3 linked regions of the Danio rerio genome follow. The protein of the gene in region 3 interacts with the protein of the main gene of each other region in a pairwise test. Links are inferred from orthologs where the notes say so. Each region holds a gene or a part of one and is shown on either strand. Other genes may lie near its edges.

Region 1 (4,274 bases), on a different chromosome or scaffold from region 3:
CAAATCTAATCAACTCTTGCTGAAAAAAAGTGTCAGTTTATTTTATTGTTTTAACAGTACTGTATATTTAAATCCATAGTCAGTCTAATGAAGTTTCCCTAATCAAACAAAAAGCACAACACCCACACACGTTCCATTTCTGTGTAAAATAGCTGCCAGTACAGAGAAATGATTATAATCAAACAGATTTGTTTGTCCCTAGAGAGCTGAATAGCGTCTCCTTCCCTTTTTAACCTCCTGCAAGCATCTTCCAACAAATTTAATTACTCCTTTGACATATAATTTCCCATGGCAGCAGCATGTAAAGTGGTTTCGCAGCGCATCACCTGTAAAACTCAAAGGTTTTGGCAAGTGAATCAAGTGGTGACCTCCTATCTCTTGTTTACCTGGTTGCCATGACCTGCTCTGAGAAGTGACCGTCAGTATCGACCTGGCTGTCTTTAATTTGTTTACCTCCTCTTTTTTTAAGCCAGAGACACAGACAGAGAAAGTAAGAAGGACACAGGAAGTCAGAGATACATCAGTGAGAGACAGAAAGCATCCAGCCTGTAATGGGACTCAAGTAAAACATCAGAGGAGTGAACATTTTGGTGAGGATGCTGGAAAGAATTCAGCAACCAATTTTTCAGCTTTTGTTTTTCTAGTAATGATATTCCATGTGTCTTTTACTCTAGCGTTTTGTAATCGAGCATTGTTTCTATTATTAGTGCTTTCAGTTGAGTTTCCTGTCCTGTTGGTTTCCTGTTTTATAGAAAAGCACACCTTTCAGTTGGGTTTATCCTTTCTTACACTGCAAATAATAATGCTTTTTGTCTTGTGTCTAGTCCAAATACCTAACAATTATCTAAAAAAATGATGTAAAAATACTGTTTTTGTGTTGTTTTGTCCCTTAAAAATAATCTGCCAATGAAGTGGGTAAATAAATCTTAATTTCGGGTTGAAATAAGATCATTTTAAAATCATTTTTGTTGTTTGACATAAAATCTCCCTCAATTTTGACATTATTTCTGTTTCAAAGTAAAACAAAACAATTTTTTTTACTTGTCTAGAAAATGCTTCCTGAATGCTCTTCCTTCCAAAAAAAAAAAAAAAAAAAAAAAAAAAAAGCAGCTTCAAGAAGTCAGAAATGTATTTCTTTGCAGTGTAAATGTAATGCATAAGACATTTGGGGAAAGAAGAACAATGAGGGGGAAAAGATGGGATAAAAGAAAGGCAAAAGAATCAAAATGAAAATGTGTTTAAAGAGGGAAAGACAGGAAGAAAGAGAAAGAAAAGCAGCCTCACGTATCTTAGAAAAACATCATACTTTGTCCTCTCAGCCCAAGGAGGACTGTAGGAGAGGAAGGTAGTTTTTTTTTAGGAGGAGTAGGCAGAGCAGCGAGAGAGTGAAGCGGAAGCGAAGCAGAACAAGGGGGAGAGAGTTTGAGAAAGACTGTGGGAGGTGGAAAAAAAGAAGCCTGAGCTTAAAAAAGACAGAAACAGTCTTTTGCTTATGAACAGATAGTACCCTAAGTCATGCTTCCTGCGTGTGTGTTTCCATGGTGATGTCTGGAGGGCAGACCAGCGGAGAGGCTGTTGGTGCCAGGCAGCGACGCAGGACCAGCCCGAGTCCTGAGAGAGAAGCCCTGGAGGAACCTTCCTCGCCACCTGCCGCCCACAAACTCTCACCCATGTACCCTAAGGAGGAGCACAGCGCGGGGGGCATCAGCTCCTCTGTCAACTACCTAGATGGAGCTTATGAGTACCCGAACCCCACACAGACCTTCGGCACCTCGTCGCCTGCAGAGCCTGCTTCAGTGGGATACTACCCGGCTCCCCCAGACCCCCACGAGGAACATCTACAGACGCTTGGCGGTGGATCAAGCAGCCCCCTCATGTTCGCACCCTCCAGCCCACAGCTGTCCCCGTATCTGAGCCATCACGGAGGACACCACACCACCCCTCATCAGGTGTCCTACTACCTGGATTCCTCGTCCAGCACCGTCTACAGGTCAGTGCAGCAGCAAATTTCAGCTCAGGCTTTAATTAAGTAAATGATGAATATGAAATTAGTTAAAACTATTAAATAAAGTTAGAAATATATAATATAATATATAAAAATATATGGCAACACTTTAAAATAATGGTCTTTGAGTTGATGTATTTACTAACATGAACATACAAATAACACTTTTATTTCGGGTAATAATTGATCTTTGTTAATGTTAGTTAATGTTATTTAAGTTAAAGAATGTTCATTTACTGTGCATTAACTAATGTTAATGTTATTAATGTATTAATGTTGAAATATGATTAATTAATGCTTTGCAAAATTATTCATACTTACAGTTTATTATTACAGAATTATCAGCCCCCTTGTTTATTTTTTCCCCCAGTTTCTGTTTAACAGAGAGAATATTTTTTTTCAACACATTTGTAAACATAATAATTTTGATAACTAATTTTAAATAACTGATTTATTTTATCTTTGCCATGATGACAGTAAATATATGACTGGATATTTTTCAAGACACTTCTGTACAGCTTATAGTGACATTTAAAGGCTTAACTAGGTTAATTAGGTGAAATAGGTAGGTTAGGGTAATTAATCAAGTTATTGTATAGGGATGGTTTGTTCTATAGACTACGGACAAAAATATAGCTTAAAGAGACTAATAATTTTGACCCTAAAATGATTTTTTTTAAAAATTAAAAACTGATTTTATTCTTGCTGAAATAAAACAAATAAAACTTTCTCCAGAAGAAAAAAAAAAATATCAGACATACTGTAAAAAAAGCCTTTCTTTGTTAAACATCATTTAGGAAATATTTAATAAAGAAAAAAATTCAAAGGGGGCTAATAATTCTGACTTCAACTGTAGTTGATGTTAGTAAATGCATTAACTAACAATAACTAATGGACCATCATTGTAAAGTGTTAGAAAATAAATATCATTTTTAGGAACTTTAATGATACTGTGGTTATTGTAATTGTGAAATCCAGGCTAAATTATAGTAAATATGACAGGGATCTTTTTACAATATATCATGTCATTCAAAAATATTTAAAAAATGAACCATAGGATCAATTCCCTAAGTTTAACTGCAGTAAATATGACAGGAAATTTATCATGTCATTAAAGTATTGCCATTTTTATGCTTATTTCTTTTTATTATTATTGCTTATAGTCCTGTATGTAATCATTTTAAATTCTTGCATTTATATCTTATACTTACTGTGTGCTTTTTATGATTTTATTTTATTTTATCATTCTTATGTAAAGTGCCTTGAATTGTTTATGAAATGTCCTATTTAAATAAAAAAATGTGCCTTGCTGGAAGGTTAAACTGTAGTAAATATGTCAGTAAAAGAAAACTATTTTAGTTTTTTAAGATTTAAAAAAGAATTTACTTTTTAAAATGATGAAAAGATTATAAATTTACATTAGCATTTTATGTTTATGGCCCTTTTCATGATGAAATTCAAGCTTAATTAAAGTAAATCTGCGTTAAAGTAAACAGCATTAGATGATTGTGGTAAATATAAAACACAATTACTTTTATGAACATTGAAAATGATTCAAAATTACTCTTAGAATTCATTTATATGGTAAAATCCAGCTTAAACTATAGTAAATATGATAGGAAACAACCTATATTAGATGTTTTTAAGGTTATAACACCGATATGAAATTTTGCCAGGTGGTCAGTAAATCAAATGAGGTGATTTTGACCTGATTTATGATTCATTGAGGCATAATGTTTGCTTTAGCACTCCAATCTTGCTTGGATGCCTGCCTTCCGAGGCTCATTTTTCCAAACAACACCTTGCATAAATGAAACCCGGTGAAAGTCTGCTACATTTGATACCTTTTTACAATTTTGTTATTTAAATGTCTGATTTAATAATAATAATTATTATTATAATAATTTGACACTTTCAAAGTTGAACTGTATGGTAAAACCAACATGTTGATCTACTTCCCCGGAAAACATTATTAGGGAGCATTTATGGAATATGTGGAATAAATGATCATGAGAATTAATTGTCTAAAAGTATCACATAATTTGATATTGTGGTTATTTCATCTAGATATGTACAGATCTCAGCATATATGAGTCCACCCCTCAACAATCTCTCTATTCAATTCATATTTTTAATAGGAAGCTTTACAATTTTATATTTGTGCATATATATATATATATATATATATATATATATATATATATATATATATATATATATATACATTAGATTAGTCAGTACTGAAGCCAAATCTGGAGCTTATCTAACA
Region 2 (4,284 bases), on a different chromosome or scaffold from region 3:
AAGACAGAGCAGAGATATCTATTAATTACAGCACTCATTAATAGGCCTCTCTCCCAGGGCTGTGTGGGTGGAGGGGGCTTCAAGTAAATGGGTTGGTGGTATCGAGCGACGCAGGGTGGGTGGGGTGTGTTCGGCCCGCTCTTTTGTTTGCCTTTGAAGACTCTCTGCTTTTGACGGTGTGGCTGTCTGTTTGGGTTACTGGACTGATACTGTGTGTTTGTGTCTGTATTGTTGATTTTTTATTTTTATTTTTTTCCTCCATCGATGCATGTGAGCGTGTATGGCGACTGGCCACAGGCGAGGATGATGGAAGTGCTTTGCGCCTCCGCACTGATTAGAGTCATGTAGAACAAGTTGATATTGACTGGAAAGTGAGTGATGGCACTGAGCTCTCAGTACTGTCCCTCTCCCTTCCGCCCTGCAGACGCTCATCTGTCATGGTGCATTTGATCACCTGATCCCACCTCTTGATCCACAATCACAAAAAAAAAAGCCTTTAGCACTTTTTTTTGGTGTGCGTAGATGGACAATTTTGGTGCTGGAGAAATGACAGGCTTTGGCTCATGCTCTCTAGCTCTACAATAAATAATTTCAAGTAATTCCTCACCATGTCAAATGAATCCGAACGATCCGAGTGTATAAATATCAAGGACTAAAACCATTAGGACATGACTGGATTTGTTGTGCCACATTTCTTTAGAACTCAATTGGCTGCACACTGGGCTGGCGTAGCGATGTTAGCTCTCCTCTTTACAGCCGTGTAGATATACAACCACTCAGACACTTTAGTGAGACCCAGGGGACCGTGGCACACTGGCTCTCATATGCCTCTCCTCTTATGTTTCCTCTCAGAGAAGTCATTAACATGCTAAAAAACTAGAATTCTGAATTCACAATCAGGGGCTTTTTTTAGCTGCCGAATGCTCTGTTCTCTCCGGCTGAGGTGGAGATGGACCCATGTGCAGGATGAAGGGCTAGGGGGGCAGGGTTCTATGTTTCTATTTCTTTTGTATTTCTTAATGGCTTTGTTTTGGTGACATTTGTAAGTTGTGCCACCTCAAAAGATCATCTCGGACTAATATGAAAACACCAGAATAATGCCATTTAACGCATCTAATGTTGGTCTTTTCTAGTGTTGCACAGTATATCAGAAGTCTTATTGGTATCATTTAATGAATGCTGTTTTTAATGGACTGACAAGAAAATTGCATGTAATTTCTGGCAGTTCTTTCTTTAGTCTTTTCATAAAGATGTTTTCATTGTTAGTCATATTCACTAACACTTCAAATTTGTTTCACATTTTTAGGCTGCTCTGCAGAATGTCCAACAAGGACCGCCACATTGAGTCGAGTTGCCCCTCCTACATAAAGACGGAACCTTCCAGCCCCGCCTCACTAACGGACAGCGTAAATCACCACAGCCCCGGCGGCTCCTCAGACGCCAGCGGTAGCTACAGCTCCACCATGAACGGCCATCAGAACGGCCTGGACTCACCCACTCTTTATGGCCCAACAGGCGCTCTGGGTCCCAGCGGAACTGGTGCCAAGCGTTATGAGGACTGTTCCAGCACCATCACGGAGGACTCACAGATTAAATGCGAGTACATGCTGAACTCCATGCCCAAGCGCCTGTGCCTGGTGTGCGGGGACATCGCTTCTGGTTACCACTATGGCGTTGCCTCCTGCGAGGCCTGCAAGGCCTTTTTCAAGAGGACCATTCAAGGTTGGCTTTTACCCTCCCTCAGCTAGAACTTTGTCTAGGTTTAGGTGGCAGGTTAAAGAGTTAGAGGGACTTAGTCAAAGTGCAATACCTAGAATCAGTGCAAAGCAATTCCATACATCCAGTATCCCCTGGCTTTACACCGCCTAAGCTGCTTTCCGTCCAGTAGATGTGTAAAGCCAGAGGGAGGTAATGCTCTGGCTTATTAGTCGCTGGTATTTGCTGCAAAGCAATAAAGATTTCCTGTCTTTCTGCTTTAGATTAACAAACTTGATCAGTCATTCTAAACCAGAGGTGAGTGCTAATTGAAAAAAACAGAATGTAAATTCTCCTCTAGTTTCTATAAGTGGCAGTGAAGCTCTGAAAAACAAAGTAGGTGCTAAAAATTGGGTCAAATATTATGCTTTACCTGAGCATAATCCAGAAGCCTGGAAGATGGGAATTTGACATATCGGTATGTTTCATCCCATTAGCCAATAAAACTCTAGGTGATTTCCAAAAGCATGCCATCCAGCTGGACATATATTGACTTTCAGACTGGCTGGTTTTTGAGCGAAGGAGCTGGGTTGGGGAGTTCAGGGAAACAGAGGCGTCAGGACTGTGGTTCGGCTTGGGGCGTTGGGACAGGCAACGGCATGGGTGCCACGGCCACTCAACTCACCGGCAGCTGGCATTGCAGTGGCACTCCTCCAATGCCACCTGACAACTTGCATCTATCACCTCCCAATTGAGGCACTCGAAGCCAGGCAGTGGCGAAATACTGGGGGACACACCAAAAATTCAACCTCAGAAAGCCCACAACATTCCCAAATCTTTTCCCACTTCCATTAGGTCAGTCCAAGGTCATGTTGTGGCCATGCTCTGGTAATGAGCTCCATTGGCATTTGACTGCGACTGATGAATGATGGAAGTGTAGCGTTTAGTATGAAGACAGGCAGCAAAAGAAAGCACCTGGGACATTTTATATCTTGTTTGAAACCTTTCGCCTAACGCTTGAGTGATAGACAATGGACATTGCACTAATCGACTGCCACCTAACTCAAATCACATCACTCTATTCTGTCAGCGGAAACACACACACACACACACACATAAACACACAACCTCCTTTCCAATGTGTTGATAACCTGGACACAGCGCTCCAGCCATTGGCATTCGTCTACTGGGAGGAAAGCACCTATATTAGATTGGCAAGGATTTTTTCCTCCCTTAAAATATTCCCAGCTGGTTAAGACTACTCAACCCACTTGAGGCCTCATGAGAATTGCCTTGCATCTCCACACACATCCCCATTCCACATTCACAGATTCTTCCCAATCCGAACACCCTAATGGATTCTGGAGATTACCTGACTAATGAATATTGGAGCTCAGTTTAATGGACATGCATACTTTAAATACTGTTTCCTGTTGAATTAGCAGTCTTGAGCATTTAGCCCCCCTGCTCACGCTGCTAATCTGCTTTTTAATGAGGAAACATCAGTTCACAGAAGAGAAGTCAATACAAATCAGTGTTTACAAAGTCTGATTAACTCTGAAATATTTCATCAGTGTGGAGGTCCCAGACGGGCCCTATGTTAATTGCATGAGTGCGTGTGTGTGTGAGTGTCTGTTTCAGACCAAGACGTGTGCATGTGTGTGTGTATGTGTGCGTGCACGTGTTTGTGCTCTAATGACTGTTCTAAAGTAATTCTCTCCATACACTGATAGTTTTAGCACTGCCATAATCCTTTCCAAACTCTAAATGTGTTATATTAAATTACTATATCTGGCAACTAATTCTTATTACATTGCCAAAGAGCTGTTGAAATGCTTTTATTGGGTGCCAGACTTCTGTTTGTGTGCTGTTTTAAATATAAGCACATATCATTCCCATTTCCCCCTCACACTGCTTCACAATGCTCAAGAACACACTATAACAGTTTAATCTATGCCAGTGCTCTCAGGGATGAGGGATCGGTTGGATCAGGGGTTGTGTTAGTGGTCACCAGGTGATCAAAAGTTCACTCAGAGGTGAATTGTGACCTGCAGGTCTTTGTTTAGGTTTAGGTAAGTCTGGTCTACCTGTCCACCTGCCTCTCTAGCTTCATGACACATGGAGAGTCAGTGGCATTTTCCATAACCCTTTGTGCTCTTATACACACTCACAGATTCAGAGATGATGAGATGTGAGCTCTGTATTACAATCTCTCTTTTTTAAAGTGACAGACTGGGCTTGGATTTGTACTTAGCATATTTTATTGGTTAAGAGTTTAACGTTTGAGAATGTGCATTATTATTTTAATATACAGTGCTCAGTGCTGAGTATATACACCCTCACTAATCTATCTTTTAAATTCATATTTTTAATAGAAAGCTATACAACATTATATTTGTGCATATTCAGTTGAAGAATTATTAGCCCCCCTAAATTATTAGCCTCCCTGTTTATTTTTTCCCCAATTTCTGTTTAACTGAAAGCAGATTTTTTCAACCATTTCTAAATATAATAATTTTAATAATTAATTTCTAATAACTGGTTTATTTTATCTTTGCCATGATGACAGTAAATAATATTTTACAATAC
Region 3 (4,175 bases):
AGAAAGGGCAGTGTATGTGTGTAAAATGCCGGCAGTCTGCCTTCTTTAAAAAACAAACCATGTAAACATGTCCACACTGGACCTGCGCCCGATTTCTCAGTTCCCCCGTGCCATAATACACACATTTCATAACTTAATGCTTAGGAATTTAAAATGCATCACAGAGCAAACAAGGCTATGAGACGAGATTAGAGAAAACTTACATCCTACGGTCTCACGTCATAACCCTCCTCCGCATAATTGCTCTGTGATCATTCCAAAAGTACAGCGAAATTTTTTAAAAAATGATTCGTCACCCAAAACCTTGATATACGCTAATGCCTTACGCAATGATTTATGGCACTTGTAACCAGATCTGGTCAAGCAAGGTGGGGGCTTTCAACAAAAAGTAGCTGATTACGTCGCTTTGGTAAACATTAAAAATCACACTTAGTTTTCTAAGCTATAACACAAGGGATGCAAAAAGTAAAAGTTTAACGCTGCAATAGAGCTTGAGAACCATAGTGAATTCAACACCTATAGTGCAATGCGCACAGCGCCATTAAAAAAGTACAGGTGTTGAAAGCACAAGGTTCATTGTGCCACCTCATTAAGCTTGAGGTTAGTCATATGACCTTTTCACTTAAGCTTGTACCCCTTCATGTTCTGTTCGCTTAGGTCTCCCTGCAGAACAAAGTCGAGTGGCTTTTACTTCCCAAAAAGCAAAACAAAAAGAGATACCCGGAAATGCAGTACGCACTATTACGCTACAGATGCTGCTGTGCTTAGCACCAAGAAGTTTCTGGCACTCCCAGCTTGATTAAAACTCAAGCCAAAAGTGAGCATCAAACCTCAGCAAGCAAGAAAAACAAAATGCGAGATATATTGGAAAGTAAAAACGATGCGCGAGTTTGTCTTGACATCTATTTCTAGGTCTAGCGGAAGAAGAAAAAAAATCTGACTGTCACAAACAGCCATCAAAAAAAGAACAAAACAAAACAGGAGCATAACAGAGCAATGAGTTTAAGAGGACATCCAGTTCATCATTTGTCATGGCATACAGCTCCCCAAAGACTTCTTGACCGCTTCTTAAGACCACAACAGCGTAATAACTAGTTTCTTTGTTTAAAAAAATATGTTAGATGACGGACATTAGGAGGAACATCTGTCTACCAAATGATCATCACCATCTTATTAAGATGCAGATCTAAAAATAGCTGTAAAATATATTACGCAGCTGGGGCGTTCAAGGAGAAGGCAAAAGGCCAAAGTGAAGCCTTTATCATGTATTGGCTTAAGAGAGCAGCAGTGAGAGACCTTGTTAGGCCTGAACCTTCAGGAGGCTCTTTAACTGAAAGGTCATCAACTCACGATGATCGCCCATGGGAAGAGACACCCAGTGGCTTGGGGGCTTGGGCAGCACACTTGGGGATGGGGGCTCACTAAACTTGGCTCCGGCATAGTTCTGACCACACTGAGCTGATAAAAGTTTGTTCAGATGGGACTCCCAATTCTGATCGTACGGTGTGGCAAAACGAACAGAGCCATTCTTCTTGTCTACAGACACGGCCTGCCGCGCCTCAGGAGACCAAGAATAGCTGGTGCCCTTCTCACCTCTGCGAAGGTGATGGGGCACCCCTAAGGCTCCTGAGGCGGCAGAATGCATCACTCCATTCTGGTCTCTACTTCTCTGTTTGCCCCTGCTAACCGGCTGGCTCTTCTTGGGTGCTGGGCGATCTGGAATGTTGTATCTCTCACCACCTCCCATTATATTTTGACTGGATGTCACCTAGCAGAAGACAAAGGTGTAGATTTGTTATATTAAATAAAACATGCATTTATAGTATCTTCAAAACAGGCTTAAAATAAATAAGTGCCCCAGTGATGCAGGCTGACATAAACAAAGGGCTACGTGCAAAACGAGCCCGTCCCCGCCCATCCCCCACTCGCTTCCTCTTCTTACCTCTCTGTTGTAAAAAAGTTGAGTGCGTGGTTCTTTTCACTTTTTAATTTTTCCTCGCCAATTGGGCTCCAGGTCCTCGAAGTAGTTGATCTACTTCTCGCTGCACATGTATGTCCAGCAAGATCTGAGGTTTTCATGTGCCAGTGAGCGTTGTTTTGTCGTGGAACCGAGTTGAACATGAATTCACCTCGGCGCACGGTGCTCTAGAAGCCGTAGATCTAACAAAACAAACATTTATAAGCATCTCAATCTACTAAATATACATTCGTTTATGACTAAAAACGTATTTAAACTAATATCAAATCCCAGTCAAACCATTTCTTTGTGTAAATGTAAACATATATTGCAACAAAACATGGACTAGTAAACCTTCTTGTTTATAATTGTTATTTACTAGTCTAAAAAACAAACGGCTAATTTAAATGGCAAATATATTACAAATCACCGATTTGTTATTACATAAACAGCATTCAATCTTCCTCCTTCGCGATCGACGTCTTCATACTAGCGATTATTTTCGACAAAAAAGCCAAGGTTTTTAGTAAACTCGAATGTACACATTATTATTGCAATGTTTTATAATAAAAGCTCGATTTTAAATGATAAAAACAAGAGTATTAGGTCATCTTTTCTGGCCGCGTATCAAAACAAAGGCTCTTCAACGCAACATGGCGTCAACACAGTCGACGACTCCCTATACCTTTGACTGTGGAAAAACAACTTACCGACTTCCTCAGGAATTTGATGGAACAAGCCCTTCGTATTCCCTTGGTCTCGTCTGTCAGCTGTAGCTGTAAATGGAGAAAATATTTCCCGATATGTGAAGCTCAGTAAAAAACCGAGGCTACAGCGGAATGATGATGTTCTCCTTCTCCAGTTCGTCTCCGTCTAACAACAAAATGGACCCTCAACAAAGCATAAGTAGTTCAGACGTGTTGTGCTGCGGCCAATCAGGAAGCAGCACTGTGGACGCGCGGCCAATAGGAGCGAAGAACACGCCTGTTGCCATCGTTCCTGCGTCACCGATCGTTATGCGTGTTTGTGGGGAATTTTGGTTACTGTAATAACTCGAAGGCATAAAAATTATTATCACATGGTTTCTTCCGGTTGGTGTAATCTCAAAAAATGCACACATTTAAACCTGGTGATCGGTGTCCTTGGCACATCTTCGAGTAAAAGCACAACACTCGTAGAAGTGTGTGCTTTATGTAAACTTCAGCTGAACAAAGACAGAATACTCACAGGCTTCAGATATCTTAAGGGACACAGATACTTTGTACATAATACTTCAGATAGCTCTTAATACTGAAGTGAGTGCTTATGTTAACATCTGGTGAACAATGAAAGAATATTTACAGGCTTTTGATAGATATCTTAAAAGGACTTCACATAGGCCTACTTATTAAACAAAGAAGAACAACATGGTTGTTTGAGCAAAACCATAGGAATCACATTTTTTTTGCTATACCAACCATATTTATGAGTTTAACCATATGTTTGAACATGTTCTGATGTAAACCTGGGGTTAAACAAATAGTATTCAATCAGATATAAAGTAATTCAGTGTAATAAATGATTATTCATACAATATGTTGATGATCATATAAAACTAAAAAAAGTACAAAACACTTTTATTTAATCCTTGATTATTTTGTGTAATGGTTAATAATACGTCAAAATGTGAAATGCAGTATATACTAATAACCTAACAAAAATAGTAGATAGGAGCCTTGATGATTAATGTGATACAGGAAATACTTAGTCTTTTAAACTGAGACGAAACATGACGCATCCTGCTTGCATGTGACAACAGGTATAGATAAAAACTGTGAAGTGGTATCTGCTACCAATAATAATAGGAGGGAAAGTGTTTGAAAGGCTACAGACGAAGGTGTTGTTTTGGGGTGTAGTGTCTTAAATCAATGAATGGATTATAGGAGGCAAATGGGCCATTTGGTGTTTCTGAACCAAAGTGTCATGCTTTATGGCACTATAAGTCTGAGAATGTTTTAAGTCTAACAGCAGTGAGAAGTTACATAAACATTCAGTTTAGGCCTAATTAAAAATTATCAACTTGATGTTTTGCTTCTAGAACTTTGCTGTTAAGAATGTCCCAAATGAACTGAATGTTATTGGAAATCAATCCAGGCTTATTCAATTTTTTACAGTGTGTAATAGCTAAACGCCCTCAGCCAGTGGAAAAAAAACAAACATCTAAACATTTTGACCAGCT

The links.
Region 1: the proteins of pnrc2 (region 3) and esr1 interact in a two-hybrid assay, tested with the Homo sapiens proteins (2 studies listed by BioGRID and IntAct). The link is inferred for Danio rerio from reciprocal best matches to the Homo sapiens genes PNRC2 and ESR1.
Region 2: the proteins of pnrc2 (region 3) and esrrga interact in binary tests that used the Homo sapiens proteins (3 or more experiments, as listed by UniProt). The link is inferred for Danio rerio from reciprocal best matches to the Homo sapiens genes PNRC2 and ESRRG.

The regions. Positions count from the first base shown.
Region 1 is NC_133195.1:29,094,146-29,098,419, reverse strand, and holds the start of esr1 (estrogen receptor), read left to right. Parts: upstream 1-1,474; 5' UTR 1,475-1,538; coding exon 1,539-1,990; intron 1,991-4,274.
Region 2 is NC_133192.1:31,323,541-31,327,824, reverse strand, and holds the start of esrrga (estrogen-related receptor gamma a), read left to right. Parts: upstream 1-1,319; coding exon 1,320-1,722; intron 1,723-4,284. UniProt on the Homo sapiens protein: Orphan receptor that acts as a transcription activator in the absence of bound ligand. Binds specifically to an estrogen response element and activates reporter genes controlled by estrogen response elements.
Region 3 is NC_133191.1:36,326,066-36,330,240, forward strand, and holds the start of pnrc2 (proline-rich nuclear receptor coactivator 2), read right to left. Parts: upstream 2,855-4,175; 5' UTR 2,668-2,854; intron 2,161-2,667; 5' UTR 1,943-2,160; intron 1,769-1,942; 5' UTR 1,748-1,768; coding exon 1,301-1,747; 3' UTR 1-1,300. UniProt on the Homo sapiens protein: Involved in nonsense-mediated mRNA decay (NMD) by acting as a bridge between the mRNA decapping complex and the NMD machinery. May act by targeting the NMD machinery to the P-body and recruiting the decapping machinery to aberrant mRNAs.